Tribolium castaneum: one gene and its partners. The protein of the gene in region 1 purifies or fractionates together with the protein of each later gene. This does not show direct contact. Links are inferred from orthologs where the notes say so. Each region holds a gene or a part of one and is shown in the gene's direction. Other genes may lie near its edges. The genes, in order: splicing factor 3B subunit 4, ATP-dependent RNA helicase DDX42, Dhx15 and Phf5a.

The links.
Region 2: the proteins of splicing factor 3B subunit 4 (region 1) and ATP-dependent RNA helicase DDX42 purify together in Homo sapiens (affinity purification with mass spectrometry; 3 studies listed by BioGRID and IntAct, with this or other methods). This does not show direct contact. The link is inferred for Tribolium castaneum from reciprocal best matches to the Homo sapiens genes SF3B4 and DDX42.
Region 3: the proteins of splicing factor 3B subunit 4 (region 1) and Dhx15 purify together in Homo sapiens (co-immunoprecipitation; 4 studies listed by BioGRID and IntAct, with this or other methods). This does not show direct contact. The link is inferred for Tribolium castaneum from reciprocal best matches to the Homo sapiens genes SF3B4 and DHX15.
Region 4: the proteins of splicing factor 3B subunit 4 (region 1) and Phf5a purify together in Homo sapiens (affinity purification with mass spectrometry; 6 studies listed by BioGRID and IntAct, with this or other methods). This does not show direct contact. The link is inferred for Tribolium castaneum from reciprocal best matches to the Homo sapiens genes SF3B4 and PHF5A.

What each region holds. Positions count from the first base shown.
Region 1 is NC_087395.1:2,320,194-2,323,676, forward strand, and holds the end of splicing factor 3B subunit 4, read left to right. Parts: intron 1-1,446; coding exon 1,447-2,235; 3' UTR 2,236-2,276; downstream 2,277-3,483. UniProt on the Homo sapiens protein: Component of the 17S U2 SnRNP complex of the spliceosome, a large ribonucleoprotein complex that removes introns from transcribed pre-mRNAs.
Region 2 is NC_087399.1:9,764,611-9,769,043, reverse strand, and holds the end of ATP-dependent RNA helicase DDX42, read left to right. Parts: intron 1-2,476; coding exon 2,477-3,183; intron 3,184-3,232; coding exon 3,233-3,307; 3' UTR 3,308-3,397; downstream 3,398-4,433. Other genes in the region: endothelin-converting enzyme 2, read left to right, coding at 3,492-3,594. UniProt on the Homo sapiens protein: ATP-dependent RNA helicase that binds to partially double-stranded RNAs (dsRNAs) in order to unwind RNA secondary structures. Unwinding is promoted in the presence of single-strand binding proteins.
Region 3 is NC_087397.1:4,419,408-4,424,482, forward strand, and holds the start of Dhx15 (putative pre-mRNA-splicing factor ATP-dependent RNA helicase PRP1), read left to right. Parts: upstream 1-1,829; 5' UTR 1,830-1,996; coding exon 1,997-2,046; intron 2,047-2,099; coding exon 2,100-2,510; intron 2,511-2,847; coding exon 2,848-3,932; intron 3,933-4,669; coding exon 4,670-4,792; intron 4,793-4,848; coding exon 4,849-5,039; intron 5,040-5,075.
Region 4 is NC_087395.1:6,324,078-6,327,787, reverse strand, and holds Phf5a (PHD finger-like domain-containing protein 5A), read left to right. Parts: upstream 1-1,842; 5' UTR 1,843-1,995; intron 1,996-2,036; exon of another isoform or gene 2,037-2,044; 5' UTR 2,045-2,055; coding exon 2,056-2,388; 3' UTR 2,389-2,425; downstream 2,426-3,710. Other genes in the region: uncharacterized protein LOC655475, read right to left, coding at 1,047-1,273, 1,321-1,524, 1,572-1,620.

The sequences.
Region 1 (3,483 bases):
CTAATTGAAAGACAACCTCCTAAAATATGTGCATTCTAATTTGATAACAATCCGGTGACAAATAACGGAATTGTATATTGAAATGAAATATTGCTTTGTAACATCCTTCATGGCCTTAATAATTATAGACATATGGTAGCGCTCAGCTCCATTTGCGTGTGCGTCATCTGACATTTCTGTCACTACGTTTACATAGCAGGGGCATAGCGGTGACAAACTATCAAATATTTTTTGAGGTTACGAAGTGTTTAAATTATGAGTTGTTACAAAAAATACAGATTCACAAAACAAGAACTAATAAACGCAGAATCAAAAACCTAACGAAACGCAAATCACAAAACACAATAAACGAACAGAAAATACTTGTGATTAACACCGATAACATTTTCGACAACCAAGCGACGACGTCTGTAATTTACTGTCAATGTCAGTTTGACAAATTCGTGACACTTGACGGTGTTGTCGAAGTGCACATGTAAATCAATGTTCAAGGATACCACCCTTAGATAGCCCTTAACTGTTTAAATTTGCATTGTTTTTGATAATTTTTTTATAGCTTTGTGTTGGTAATGAAAAAATGAAATTGATGACGCACACGCAAATCGAGCTGACCGCCACTATACCTAACTAGGCAGAAAAATATCGATAATTTCTTATTTCTTTTTCTTTCTTTTCTTTTTTCTCGTTAATTTTTGTAGTGCGCTTTCACTTTTGCACCAAGCAATGGGCCACTCTGAATTATTAATGTTATTATTGTTATTTAAATATTGAAAACAAAAGTTTTTGTCTACTATATTTTGTAAAAGTATTTGGAAACGATAGGAACAAAACAAAATAACTAAGTTAAGTGTGAAATGTATTATTTTCTTGTAAATTTACATTTTTAAAAAATTTAAAAATTTAAAAATAATTATTAATCGTTTTGTTAGGAAACGATTACTTACTGTGAAACATAAAAACATTAAAAAATAATGAAAAGTAAAGAAGTTAAATACAATAAGTTTGTAGCTCTAGATTTTTTAAAATATGACTTTAGGAATTTTTTCAACATTTTTCCCGTAATCTACACTTGCTTCTCAATAACGTACCACTGAGTTGGTGCGCCAGTTTTTGAGGACCCTGTATAACCGAATTTCAAGATCTCAAATTTTTTCGTTGTCCGCTTCGCATGAAAAGCCCCAATTGTTAAATCAGGTGTAAGTGCCTTGTATTGCTTTATGCGACAGATTTAGGGATTCTCATGTATTGAAAAAAATTACCTATACGAGCATTCTTCCTTCAAAATTTATTTATTTATTTTTATTTATAATTTTGCTAATCTCTGTATGTTATTTATCAGTTGAGTTATTTGTCTCACTCCATTTGGTAAAATTAAACGTTCAGCTTCTCCACATACCAATCTATTTTTTTTTTCAAACGTTTTTTTTATATTTTTTAATATTGTAGATAATGAGAGACCCCGACACTGGCAATTCCAAAGGCTTCGCTTTCATCAACTTTGCAAGTTTCGAAGCATCTGACGCCTCAATCGAAGCAATGAACGGCCAATACCTCTGCAACCGCCCCATTTCCGTCTCCTACGCCTTCAAGAAAGACTCCAAAGGCGAACGTCACGGCTCCGCAGCCGAGCGTCTCCTCGCAGCCCAAAACCCCCTCTCCCAAGCCGACCGCCCCCATCAACTATTCGCCGACGCCCCTCCCATGGGCATGATGCCCCCAGGAATGACTCTCGCTCCGCCCCCACCTCCCGTAATCCTCGCTGGAATGATGCCTCCACCACCCCCCACTCCGGCAAGTATGCAACCTCCTCCACCCCCACCAGTTCCTCCACCCAGTTCTTTCCCCTCGGGGATCCCCCCTCCGCCATTACCTCCCTCCCAACCGCCCTTGCCACCAGGTGCACCTCCACCGCCTCCAACCTCCGCCGCTGGAGCACGGCCCCCTCTGCCACCAATGCCTGCCTCAACGCAAGCTTCAGGCGCCCCCAGGATGATACCACCTCCGTGGCAAGGTGGAGGTGGGTTACCGCCACCACCACCTGGACCGCCAAACTCGGCAGCGCCCCCAACGTCAGGTGCACCGCCGTTCCCGGGATGTTTCCCGCCGCCACCGCCTCCAGGGGGGCGGCCCCCGAATTGGAGGCCGCCGGTTAATTTTGGTGGAGGGAGACCACCGTTCCCACCAAGGGGACCTCCACCACCACCTCCGAATAATTTTAGCGAAAATAATTGGTAAAAACAATAATACAATAAAGTCAAGGTGAATTTTTTTATTTCGTTTTGTGTCTTGTTTTTTGGATTTTCCTATTATTATCCTTTTTATTATTGTCACTATTTCCAGTAAATGGTATTGTGGTACCAGGGGCTTGATATCCTAATTCCTCAAAACTTAATGTTTCTAGTGAAAGTAGAATATGTATCATTGGCAATTTTCGTTTAACAACTATTTGGTCTAAATCAGGAATAACTGGATCCCAAAATTCTTCTACTCTGCAAAATTGTAAAATATGATGCAATTTCTGATCCAAGTCGTCTTAGGCTGAAATTAAGTTGGTGACACTCTTAGTGGCGTTTGCCATGCAATGTCACCAACTTATTTTAAGTCATGTCAGCGGAAATTTTTAATTGAAAACAAACTTACACCCTATAACACAGTTTCGTTATTTGGTGTAACTGATTATTGTGTTCCCGTTTCATAATTTCAGCACATGTTACAGTTTTACCAACAGATTGTCCAAATCCTGTCCACACAACGGCTTTAGCACTTGGAAATTCATTTAATGCGTGACTTACAAGATTCCTTATTTTACTTCCACCCCTCACCTAAAACAATGAAATAAAATTAATGTGAATTTTGTAATTACGTTTATTACCTGCATCCATAAAAAATTTTCAGGAAGGTTAGGAATTGGAATTTTGTCCCTTTCGAGAGGTTCTTCCACGTTTTTACCTTTGTGGTAATTCTCCATTTATGGTTTTGAAATGAATCAAAAATACAGTTGATAAATAATGTGGCAAAAAGTGAGGTTAATTGAGAGCAGAGCACCACTTCTCGTTCACTCTATTTCTCACAAGTGAGACAGTTGGAAAAATTACAGTGCATCAGCAAAGTACTGTGTCCATACCACGACCGATGTCGTACAAAAAAAGATTGGATGAATACGGGGTGTTTTAAAATCAACAACTGAATTTTATTTTATTTAAAAGTAAATTTCTCACAAAAAATTTTAGTGCTTAGTGCCTGTTTGGTTAATTTATTTTGTTTACTCATTTTTTTCCATTTATCTTTGATCTTTTTTTTTTAGTAACTTTAATGTTAAACAATTTATTATTGGCAATTCCAACGGAGATCACAATTCAAAAAAAGCAGCTTCAAATTTTTTGTACTTTCTTCCTCGCGACTACCATAAACAATTACTTTCAATTATACGGACTTACCTTAAAATCATTTATTTCTCCACTCAATACTTTCGTTGGACTTGTT
Region 2 (4,433 bases), on another chromosome or scaffold:
TAATTACTTAAAAAAATACACAAATGTTGAGCTTTGCACTCCTAATAGACTGAGAAAAAGTGACGACTAAAATTTTTATTGGGAACATGAGAGAAAAGTTTTTTTAGTTTAAAATGTGCGCCTTGTCTCGGATTTAGTTAAAGATACAAGAAAAGCTTTAGGAAGAAAGTTGTAGAAAATTAAATTTTCTTTAAGAGATCATATTTCTATCGTCAACAGTTTTGCTGTTGATTATTGTATTGTAAATGCATGCCAGAATATAATGTAGACCAAGCAGAAAAGGAATCTTGGAAGCAGTTTTTTCAAAGAGAAAGTGATTTTATTGCTCGTAGAAATATTTATGGACTGATAAAATTTATTTAAAAATAAATTGATTAAAAAACTCATTTCAAGGAAATTTACAGCAGGTTAAAACCAAATTCGACAATTTGAAAAACAGGCATAAAAATACGTGCAGGCAATAATAAATGGATACGGGGAGAAAAAGCAAAGATTTGGATTTCGCAATTATAGCAAAAATACAGGAAAAAAACGAAGGTTATAGTGGAGTTACTAAAAAAATAAGTTAAAAAATTGCGGTATATTGACAACACCAAAAAGATGAAGCTTCCGGAATTGTAAATAAAAATAAAATAATAAAAACAACGTTAAATGGTAATTAATAATTTTTAGAGTCTAGTAAAGTTTCTAAGTTTTTCTAACTTAGCAGCATTTGCGTTTTCTTTTTCTTCAAAATATCTTGGTTCTCTAAACCATTCTCTTTATCAATACCTTCTACCATGGTACCATCTATGTATTTATTTGCTAAACTTTTATATGAAATCCAGTGTAACACTATTTGAAGAAAAATGTACTTTTTTAGTTGTTGCTCTCACTTTTTGTATAAAAAATTCAAATTGATTAGAATAGGTGTTTTTGAAAAATGTACTTCAGCGTTTTCATATAACACTAATGAAGTCTACTTTAATAAATTATTACAAATTCAAATGTTTACATCTTTACTCTCAAAAAACGTACTGCTACTTTCTATTACGTTTCGTTCGTTTATTTTTTTGCAAATTTAATAAGTTATTTAATTACGTTACCGTGATGGAATAGCAATTCCAGAAGTTTGTCCAGATAATGAAGAGTTATGATTGAATATGGATCAACTCCTTGACGATATTGATTTGCTGAACAAGACAATAAAACTTTTCCATAAAAGTGATCAAACTGATGTTCCAACTATGCTATGTAGTTTTTTAAAAGGCATGTTTGCCTAATACTCGTATTTTTAAAATTGGAATTAAAAATATATTTTTAAAATGGAATATAAAAATTATAAATGGATTCTAGAATTAATTTCGAAAGGAATTGCTTATTTTTTTTATTTTAACAAAGTTTATAAAGTATCTTCTTGTGGCAAAACATTTGTATATTATTTTGTTTAGTTTAAAAGAGAAACTAGTCTGTTTCGTTTTTTTTTAATTAGACAACTAGATTTAGCGGATTTAAAAAGTATTAATATGGAAGTTGTTCATGCCATAACTTCAAAAATGTTTTTTGAAAAATTGTTTTTTAGTGTCTCATAACTAAACCTTAAAAAATTGAACAATACCAAAGCATCAATTTGTAGCCTAATTATTTTTCTATCGATTAGTCTATTAATTTATTTTTTTACACGACTAGAATAGGTAATAATACGAGTGCGAAAACACAAGCTTTAATCTTGAAGGCTGTCGTTATGCAACGAGCGAATGCGAGTTGTATACCTAGACACCCGAGAACTTTAAGCGTTTTCGTATGAGTGTTACTAAATTTTTTTGTTGAAACATTGCTATGGGAAGCGTGTTTTAAGATAGTGTTTATAATCTAGGATTCAGATACTTAAAATGTTACAAAAAAATATTATTTATTCTTGTTTCGGCCATAAGACTTAGAACAGGGTGTACATTACAAACAATTTCTGGACTGTACAAGAAAAGCTTCAGAAGTATTATCACTGCACTTTGAAAATTGTATTTAGATGAAGAATTGACGTTTTTTTGTTAATTATTGAATTTTCTTTGTTTTTTGGTATTAAAATGTATGTACCACTTTTGAAGTTTTATTTTCGAAAATATCGTTATGTAACATTTATTCTTTTGATATTGCTATTTCGAAAATTACGGGTTTCCACCTGTTCGAGCATTTTTGCCACAACAAAATATTTTTATAATTTTGCCTATGTTTTTTTTATCGTTCTTATTTCTTATTCTTGTTTTATATAGTTGTTTTCATTTATGCACTGAGGTTTTTATTTTACTGAACATAGCACAACACTCTTAATCCTATGTTCACTTTAAAAAAATTCATGTCACTGCATTGCAAACAGTTCTATAAGAAGCCCTAATGTACAACAAAATAAAATCTTCACTTATGTTAACTTTCGACACAATGTAGGCATTTTCATATATTTTTTGTAAAATATTTTGATATCTGGCAACCCTAATTACAGGGCAGGCTAACGAGGATGTGACTCAGAGGGTTCTTTTGATGGAAAACCAACAGTTGAAGAGGGATTGGTTGGTGAATAATTTGGTCGAGTTGTTATCCGCTGGTTCGGTGTTGGTGTTTGTCACGAAGAAAGTTGATGCCGAACAATTGGCCAACGATTTAAAAGTCAAAGAATTCGAATGTTTGTTACTCCACGGTGATATAGAGCAGGCCGAGCGTAACAAGGTTATAACCGCATTCAAGAAAAAAGAATGTAGCTTATTGGTGGCCACGGACGTTGCGGCCCGCGGTCTAGACATCCCCCACATCCGTACGGTGGTTAATTACGACATAGCACGTGATATTGACACGCACACGCACCGGATTGGTCGAACGGGGCGTGCCGGCAATCAAGGCACCGCCTACACGTTAATCACGCCCAAAGATAAGGAATTTGTGGGCCATATTGTTAAAAACTTGGAAGCGGCGCATCAAGACGTACCTCAGGAAGTGCTAGACTTGGCATTGCAAAGTTCATGGTACAGGAAACAGCGATATAAGAGTAAAGGTGGTAACCCGAACGTGGGCGGGGTTGGGCTGGGCTTCAAGGAGAAAGTGGGAGGGGCTTCGAAGACTTTCGTGGGGGAATCACACAGCCAGTCTCGAGGGCCGGCCACTGATCGCTTATCGGCGATGAAAGCGGCTTTCAAAGCCCAATACATGAATCAGGTTAGTTTTTATTTGATATTAAAATTTTGGCAAATCTCTTTGTGATTAGTTTACAGCAAGTTCTGACCCGGTTCCACAAGCTCCGCCCCCCGCCTCCACACGAAAGAAGAGTAGATGGCAGTGATTTTTTTCTAGATTAATGTTGTAGGTGTAATTTTTATGCATGGACTTTTGATTAAAGTTGTTAGTGTTATTAAAGCGATTTCATCCAGAAGTAGTGTTTAGATAATTTGACCGATTTTCCGCCGCCTCCTACATTTTGTCTGCTTAGATAAGCTAAAGGTTAATAAACTGGTTAGTTGAGTGAAATGCTGGCGAAAAGTCTGCTGGTTTTTGCCACACTTGTGCTAATTATTGACGTGCGGAACGCCAGCAAGTTGCCGCTCTTTCCCAAAACGCGGAATTATTCAGGTATTTAGGTTTTTCTGTCATTTTCGGCCGTAATGGAAAAAAATTATCTGGTACACAAACTTGTTTTATTTATTAACCTGAACCAACTATTACAACAGTTTGTTAGATATTGTTTTTAATCAAATCTAAAAGATTAGCTTTATTTACTTTTGGTTTTTTCACTCACAACTTAATCTCATTTTTTGTAACGGATTTTCCTTACAGGTACGTTAAACTTCATTTTTTATTCAAGAGCAGATGTTTTTCCTTTATTTCTAAAATAAATAAATAAAGAGAAATTATTTTACATTATTTTTTTTTTTTCAATCATTTCCACCATAAAAAAACCAATGAAAATTTTGGCTTTTCTTTAAATAAACGCAATTCAAAGTTCTCTTTCAAACCAATGGATCTTCTGTATAAAAGGGTTAGAGAGTTTTCTGTAATACAATATATTATTATAAGTTTTTAAATTAGCGTTGACTAATCATTTCGACGTTTTCAAAAATTGTATCAATTGATTTTTGCGATTTCTTGCTTAAAAACGACAAAATACGCTGTATAAAAGCTAAATTCACTTTATATTGACCGAAAACGACAATTAAAACATTTTTTTACAAATTTCTAAATGTATTTGATTCCATGCGTAAAAAACGTCAGAACTTGTCGAGAACCTGTTGAAGCAATACTTTATTGTGGATAAATCATTGCTTAAAAACGACAGAACACGAGTTCAAAAAATAAAATAATGATGATAGTAAGCCTTTACTAAAGAAAAAATGTGTAGAGGCGAAGTCGACCTAATGCTATTCTACTTAACCTTTCTCACAATCAATACAAAACAATGAAATATAAACCCA
Region 3 (5,075 bases), on another chromosome or scaffold:
CAGAAGATTCAGAAAATTTTGTTTGCAATTTTCCAAAATGAACAGGTTTTTGCGTCTGGAGGGGCGAAAAGCACACTTTACGAGTTCCATTTTTGTAACGACGAGGAGTCAAAACAGTCTTATGCTTGACCATCGGCTGATTAGCTCTTAGTTAGCTTTGTATGTTTTTTAAGGAAATTTACTCTTACTGTAATATTTTAAGGGGTGAACCTGGAGACAATTCCTGCATATATTTTGAAAACCTTGCTTATGATTTGTCAATTAGAGCTAATATTACGAATAAAACTTAGATAAAGAAGATGTTGAATTGAGATTATTATGTAGCAATTAATCCAGGCCAAACCTAAAGTGACTGTCAGTTGTGAATGTGACTGTAATTAGGTACGTAACGAGCCTATGATTGAAATAATTTTGATCTGAAGTTGTTTCGATCGTATAATACCCCAATCAACAGACCGGGTCTGTCCGCCTAATTTAAAGTGCTAAGAGAATAAAATCGTGGGTCTACATGCACAGGTGTCTGATTCTCTTCCTGAATTTATTTAATTCTGAAGTGCCTCTTTGCCTTTTCTTTATGAATTAATAAACTGTAAGACGTAAATGTAAATTTTAACATAATTTACTCCCAAACGACAAATATTTTTGATAAAAGAACGTCACATTATTATTGGCTTTTGAGAAATAGTACAAAAAACTTGAAATTATTTTTGTGTCAGCGTACACGAACCACAAAATTGTAACGAAATTTTACACCCTTTATTACACACGCGGTCTCGTAAATTTATTGTAAAAGTGAATATTCGAAAATCTGGAAGTACTTCAGAATGATATTCGATTTTTCCCGTAGTTCAGTAACACTGCACAAGTTCAAAGCACGTGTGTGTTTGAACTTGTGAGTAAGGTACAAGAATTGTAAATTTATCCGTATTTACATCAGTTTAGCTTAAGATCCTTGTTCTTCCTTAAGTGGTTAAAGTGAATAGACTTCATCGAATTACTGTTTAAAATAGAAACTGTTGGACTAAAATTTCGTTTTGATCGTTGTAGATATTAGGAGATAAGTTCGGCTTTTATTTAGTTTAGTTAAATAAATATCTAGGAAATGTTAATCAAAATATACGATTATTATATGATATAGTGAAATATATCGTAACAGTAGATGTCTTAAAATCGATTTCTTTCTGTTATCTGTTATTGCGTTCAGTCAGCAAAAGAGCAATGTCCGTAAATTACCAAATATGCAATACATCACATGCATATCGAGAACTACAATCACAAGAGCCAACCATCACTACTGATTTGCCAACAAAATGAGCTTTTTAAATGATACGGTTAAATGTGGTAATAGACTTAAGATTTCTTAAACTGTATTAATTTTTTACTATTCTTTGTATAACAAGATGGCCAGACGGCACTAACACACTTCATAAACATGTAACTGTGTAAAATTTTAATTAAAAAGTGACGATAGGATTAACAAATTTCATACGTGCTGTACTATAAATGTATTAATTAATTAAAATATATTTTAAATTCAGGGCACAATTAATTACATTACTACTATTTTCGCATCAGAGGCATGTCCCATAAAACAACTTATGCGAAAAATTTTACATGAAGTCGGTTTAAAAAGTTGCAATTAATATGTTTCTCCCCAGAATCAGCAATATTCGCGCAGTACACATAATTTTGACTGACTAAAAACCAAATTATATTATTGTTATAAAGTTTAATTAATAAATTGTTATACGGTGTACAATAATTTCGTGGTTTCATTTTTCCCCTTAATTTTCCAAAAAATTTAAACTCCCGCTTTCGGTCGCCATGCAAATAAACGTCAATAAAACGGCAGCGCTCTGCTCTATCGACCGTGCAAAGTTGCATGGAGTCGTGGTCGTAGTTTTATTTCCAAACAAACTTTAATGCAATTTATTTTTATTTGTTAACAAGTAGACAATTCGAGAGCTTGTTACTATTAGCCGTAGTCTATCTAACAATGTCTAAAAGGAGAATCGAAGTGTTGGATCCGTTTATAAAGAAGAAAAGGTGAGTAACCACAAATGTCACTCAGCCACATTTTCCGCCTCGTGATATTTCAGGGAAGAACGTGGGATTAGCACTGCAGTAACGAACACCCCGCAAGTAACCAACGCCTCAATCAACCCGCACACCGGTTTGCCGTACACCAATAAGTACCATGAGTTGTATCGCAAACGCATCACGCTTCCTGTCTTTGAATACCGCAACGATTTCATGCGTTTGCTCGCCGAAAACCAGTGCATTGTGCTGGTTGGCGAGACAGGGTCGGGGAAAACGACGCAAATTCCACAGTGGTGCGTTGAATTCGCCAGGTCGGTCGGGAAAAAGGGGGTGTGCTGCACCCAGCCCAGGAGGGTGGCTGCCATGTCTGTGGCCCAGAGAGTGTCAGAGGAAATGGACGTCGCCTTGGGGCAAGAGGTGGGCTACAGCATTCGGTTCGAGGACTGCTCGTCGGCCAAAACTATCCTCAAGTAAGAGGGGCTATAAATATTTTCCAGAAACTCTTGTCTTCTTCCCCAATTATGATTATTCCTTGTGAAAAACTAGTTTTTTCCTCGCCGAATTCTATTAAACCTTGTTTTCTGAGGTTTTATTATTTTCAAAATACTCTTTTTCTCTTTTGGACTTAAATTATTGTTTTTTTTTTGAGAAATTTTAATGAATCAGACAGAAAAGTCAGTAAATTGGGTTTGAAATAAAAAAAAAATTGTCGTTTTCGAGCTTTTTATTACGTTTATCATATATTTACAAAAGCAGTTAAGTTAAATTAAGTTAAAGCATAAAAATTACAACTGTGTGATTTAATAGGTACATGACCGACGGTATGTTGCTCCGTGAGGGCATGAGCGACCCAATGCTGGACGCCTACCAGTGCATTTTGCTCGACGAAGCCCACGAGCGCACCCTTGCCACCGACATTCTGATGGGTGTTTTAAAAGAAGTTATTAAACAACGCTCCGACTTGAAATTAGTTATTATGTCGGCGACTCTAGACGCTGGCAAATTCCAGCAATATTTCGATAACGCTCCCTTAATGAACGTCCCCGGTCGTACGCATCCAGTAGAAATTTTCTATACTCCCGAACCGGAACGCGATTATCTCGAAGCCGCCATCCGTACCGTCATCCAAATCCACATGTGTGAGGAAATAGCCGGCGATATTCTCCTATTTTTGACCGGTCAGGAGGAAATCGAAGTTGCTTGCAAACGAATCAAACGCGAAATTGATAATCTGGGCCCCGAAGTGGGCGAACTAAAATGTATCCCGTTGTATTCGACGCTGCCTCCGAATTTGCAGCAACGTATTTTCGAGGAGGCGCCCCCTAATAAGGCCAATGGGGCGATCGGACGCAAAGTTGTCGTCTCGACCAACATTGCGGAGACTTCCTTGACTATAGACGGTGTCGTGTTTGTGATAGATCCCGGATTTGCGAAACAAAAAGTCTACAATCCTCGAATTCGTGTCGAGTCGTTATTGGTCTCGCCGATTAGTAAAGCCTCAGCACAGCAGCGTGCCGGAAGAGCTGGAAGGACTCGGCCGGGGAAATGTTTCCGACTTTACACCGAAAAAGCATACAAGAACGAAATGCAAGACAACACCTATCCAGAAATTTTACGATCGAATTTGGGTTCGGTCGTTTTACAATTGAAGAAACTGGGAATTGATGATTTGGTTCATTTTGACTTCATGGATCCACCGGCGCCTGAAACCTTGATGAGGGCCTTGGAATTGTTGAATTATTTGGCGGCGTTGGATGATGATGGAAATCTCACCGATTTGGGGGCGGTTATGGCCGAGTTTCCGCTCGATCCACAATTGGCGAAAATGCTCATTGCCAGCTGCAACCACAACTGTTCCAATGAGATACTGTCCATTACGGCGATGTTGTCAGGTATTTATTTTATTAACGTTTTTCTGAAGCAGGCCCTCAGCCCTTGCTTTAAACGTCGATTTGGTTATTTATTCCGATTAGACTCATTCAAAATAATTTTTTCATTTTCACTGTTTTGGTTTATTTAATTGGCAGCGTTGAATGTACTTTCACTACTTGCCACATAACAAACCTCAAAAGAATTAAAGGTTCCCATTTTTAAACGATTTTACCACAGTATTTATGCTTGGAGACTAATAAGTAATAAATTATATTTTTGATTTTGTGGTAGTTGATGCCGAATAATAGTCGGAGCAAAAAACCATTATCGTTATTAATGAACTAAATTTTTTGTTGAATATACGACTCAGCCAATTTCCGAAACCTCCGTAATCAATAATTCAAACGCTTGTGCAAAACAATATTTTTTAAAATGTTTATTAGATGCATCTTAATGTTGATTTTGTTTAATGAAGAATGAAAGTGGTTTGTTGTCCATGAATTTTACTTTATCAACTGCTACCTGTTTATTGGTCTGTTGTCACGCGGGTTCGTGTTATTCGGAACGATTTTCGAGCAAAACCGCTAGTAATATAGCTAATAAATGCTTGAAATAACAGACATTGAACAGAACAGAACACCACAATGTTGTGGTTTGTTTTGCTCGAGTCGTTCTGACTAAGGTAGCTCTGTAGGAAACGCTTGAGAGCGCAACTATATTGGTTGGATACGGGCAACTGCCCTGCTCCAATGTTTAGTCCCACAGTGCTTCATCCGACCAAATGAGGCGAAGAAAGCGGCCGACGATGCAAAAATGAGATTCGCGCATATTGACGGGGACCATTTGACGCTGCTCAATGTCTACCATGCTTTCAAACAAAGTAAGTTTTTGCGAGTTTTACCAAGTAATTGTGTTTGACTGGTGTGTTTGGGTTAGGTATGGAAGATCCACAATGGTGCTATGATAACTTTGTCAATTACCGTTCCTTGAAATCTGCCGATAACGTGAGACAACAGTTGTCAAGAATTATGGACCGGTTTAATCTCAAGCGAACTTCGACAGATTTCACCAGCAAGGATTATTATATTAATATAAGGAAGGCTTTAGTTAACGGGTTTTTCATGCAGGTAATAATAAATTTCTTAGTGATGATTGTAGTACAT
Region 4 (3,710 bases), about 4.0 Mb from region 1:
ATTTTTTGAGATCAAACAACTATTATTTTGAAACGTGTTTTTGGCTTTTTCGTTAAATACAAAGTTCAAATTCTTTTAAGGAATGAATTCACTGTTGAAGCGCCAGCACCTTCTTCGAAATGTCCATAAGAGATGCTATATTCGGCGCAATCTAAAAGCCTTTCTCATTCCAATGTTCAGTTGAATTTAGGGACGATCTGATTTATTTTTACGTGAGTGAAGCACAAGTTTGAAGGTTTCATGGTATCTGTACACATAAACAGTAATAACCAGGGTGAAATTGTAGACAATCACCGAATTTATTGTTCTGATTCACCAATTTTTCAAACGTGAGAAAATCTTGACACTTTTGACGTACATTTTTGAATTTTGATGGTGGAGCCATCTGTAGAGTGTATAATCGTTATTGTTGCCCTGTCAAGGTCCGTGTCGCTACTTTAGTATATCTACTGGCTTTGGTAAAGTAAAAATAATACATGCACAATCAATAATAGAATCTCAAAATTATGTAGAGAGTGTGGAATTCCACATTTTGAGTTTTACATTTTTGAGTTTAATTGTTGGAGGGGTATGTTTCCTTTTAGTTCGCTGGGGCGAAGCCCTAGCCTGCAAGCTAGCTACTGAGCGTGTATTATTTAAACTGTGCAAACTGAACAAGATACTGTGCATATACGATTTTTGTACTGGACAAATTTTAATAAAATACTGTGCGTGGTTTACTTGTCATTTAAATTTTTTACTGTGCAAAAATTATTAAAATACTGATCACTTATTATTTTTTACTGATCAAAATCGAATTTATTACTACCTAATATTTCTGAGCTTATTCAAATATTATGCAACCAACATTACACACATTCATTTCGGAAAAGTACTATTTTACGGACAATTAGTCAAGAGAAACATTCTTCACTTCAAGGAAGATGTGGTTTAAATACTCTTAGATGTAACATGTAGCTTCGCAGCAAAGATATTTTCAATAAAATTTTGAAACTCAAATCTCTTTATTTAAGATAAATCAATACAAAAATACCACTTATAAGGGTTTAATAAAAATCAATGTCCGGCAGTGAAATGTGCTCACTTTCATCGGTCATGTCGTAACTGTCTTCAGACTTTACAGAAAACTTGATAGTTTTCGGAATCTTAATAAACATATCAAAATCAACAGGTGATAACTTTGGAGATGGAGTCAACTCCTTGTAACCACAACATGGTCGCAGCTTGTTGAATTTTTCCTTTGCAGTAATTAATTTATCAGCAGCGCAATCATCTAAAACCAGAAATCAGATTTCGTCACACACAAATCTCGGTGAAAACCGTTCATATCCTTGAAGGAGTAAGTGTCGTAAATAAATAAGTCATCATCTTCTATGTCAATATTTTGCTCAGGCTTTTTCAGTTGCGGCTCGGGTTTCACATTTCTGCCAAAATCAGGCGTGTTTGCATTCACGGCTCGATCAAAAAACGGTTTTCTTGATAGGGTGTTAGTGGTTCTTGGCTTTTTTGCCACACTTCCAACGTCTAAAAACGACACTTGAAGATTATTTCACCGAACATCAAATACTCACTTTCTTGGGAGAAAACGTGGATTGCGGGTGAGGAAAACATCGAATTCATTGTTGAAATCGCTTCAGTTTCGGCAAATTGGAGCCTAACGTTCAAAGGGAATCAATCACTTTTTGATTTTTTATAGTAGTGTTGCCAACTTAACGAACTCAGCAACTTGATGAAATGAAATTACTAGTGTCTGGTGTCAAAATTTAAATTTATTTATTTATTTGTTGAATGTGGTCACGATTCTTAAGTTATATAGAAATTAGTTTGTGCTTCCGTAATACTCAAATCAAAATTCGACAATTAATTAATCATTTGACACGAAAATAAGAACGTCTAGCTGGCGTAACTGTCGACACTTCCAGTTCAACTGTCAACTGTTGTACACATAACCTAACAAATCTCGAAACAAAGCTCAACGTTTTCTCACGTTTTACGGTAAGTTCCTGAGTTTGGAATAACAGTATTGTTGAAACAAGATTTGTAGATCACTGAAGCATGGCCAAGCATCACCCCGATTTGATTTTTTGTCGCAAGCAGCCGGGGGTGGCCATAGGGAGGCTCTGTGAGAAGTGTGACGGAAAATGCGTTATTTGCGATTCGTACGTGCGTCCCTGCACTTTAGTGAGGATTTGTGACGAGTGTAACTACGGTTCGTATCAGGGCAGATGCGTGATTTGTGGAGGTCCAGGTATTTCAGACGCTTACTACTGTAAGGAATGCACAATTCAGGAGAAAGACAGGGATGGGTGCCCCAAAATTGTGAATCTGGGTAGTTCGAAGACTGACCTCTTCTATGAGCGTAAGAAATACGGGTTTAAGCGGCGCTAATGTGATTTTGTGTAATTAAAATAAATCATAAAATTTATTATCAGTCAGTCAATTTTCCTGTTATCATATTAAAAAAAATCTTTTTTTTAATTTTGTTTTTGCACTGTTTTCCTAGTTTTCTATAATGAAAAAATCAAGGAAAAAAAGTAGTTTAACGCGCGAGGCAATTCCGAGTATGATAATGTTTGTGAATAGACAAAATTTCATATTCATGTGTGCCATCTACAATATTTTTTACTGCCATCATATGATTTTGATAATGGCAGCGGCTTTTTGTCTTCGAAAAAATGACAAAAATTGACATGTTTTGAAGGATTTATTAGTGTCAGCGTCATATGTTATCAGCTTTGTTCGCGGAAGGTTTTTAGAACTAATCCTGAACTAGTCCAGGATTTATTTAAAGCGCGTGTGCGCTTCAGATTCAGTTACGGACTTTCGTCTACCGCGAACAATATTTTATCGTTATCAAGTTCTTAGTGAATGTTTAGAAACAAACAAGCCACCAAAAATTATCATAAAGTTAGAAATGGTATAAGTTATTGAACACAACCCATTTTTAAGTTTACAAACGTTATTTTTTTAATAATTTTGGTTTAGTAAGGTATTAAATAAATCTCGATAACCAAGACAGACTATTTCTTTATTGTGATTCAAACCCATTTCCTACGTCAGAAAGCTTCAAAGACACGAGAGTAACAGAGACAAATACGTTTAAGTCTAGAACTAAAAATCCTACGTCCGAGGATCGTTTGAATTGGTTCTGAACCGATCCTGGACAAAAGATTCTCTACCGCGATTTTTGGGATTTTTTTCGGTGACCAGAAATAAGTCCACATGAAAAATGCGCACAGGAAAAAGCTCACAAACATAAATGACCACAAGAAAAAAGCTCACACGTAATAATGCGCGCAAAGAAAAAACCCTCCATCGAAAAAAAGTAACATGGAAAACAGCTCATGCAGAAAAAAGCTCACGAGGAAAGAAGCTCAAACAGAAAAATACTCACTTACCAAAAAACACATATACAAAAAAACACAGTAATTCAGTTTAAGCTGTGTTGATGTAAATAGGTAGTTTTACGTTTCCCTTCTAGTTTCTATTCAACAGTAAACTCTCTTTTTATCTTCCTCTACTTTAAAGATAGGATTCCCTGTCAATTTATAATTTACCAAAGTCAACACCAGAGTATCATAACCCTCAGTCACCTATTCTTTTAACTTTTAAGCCAGTTTTTAAATTTTACAATGTAATTAATTTTCAGTTTATGATGTAGGTAACTTTTTAACCATTTTATCACCTATTGCTGGGTATGGTTTAATTAA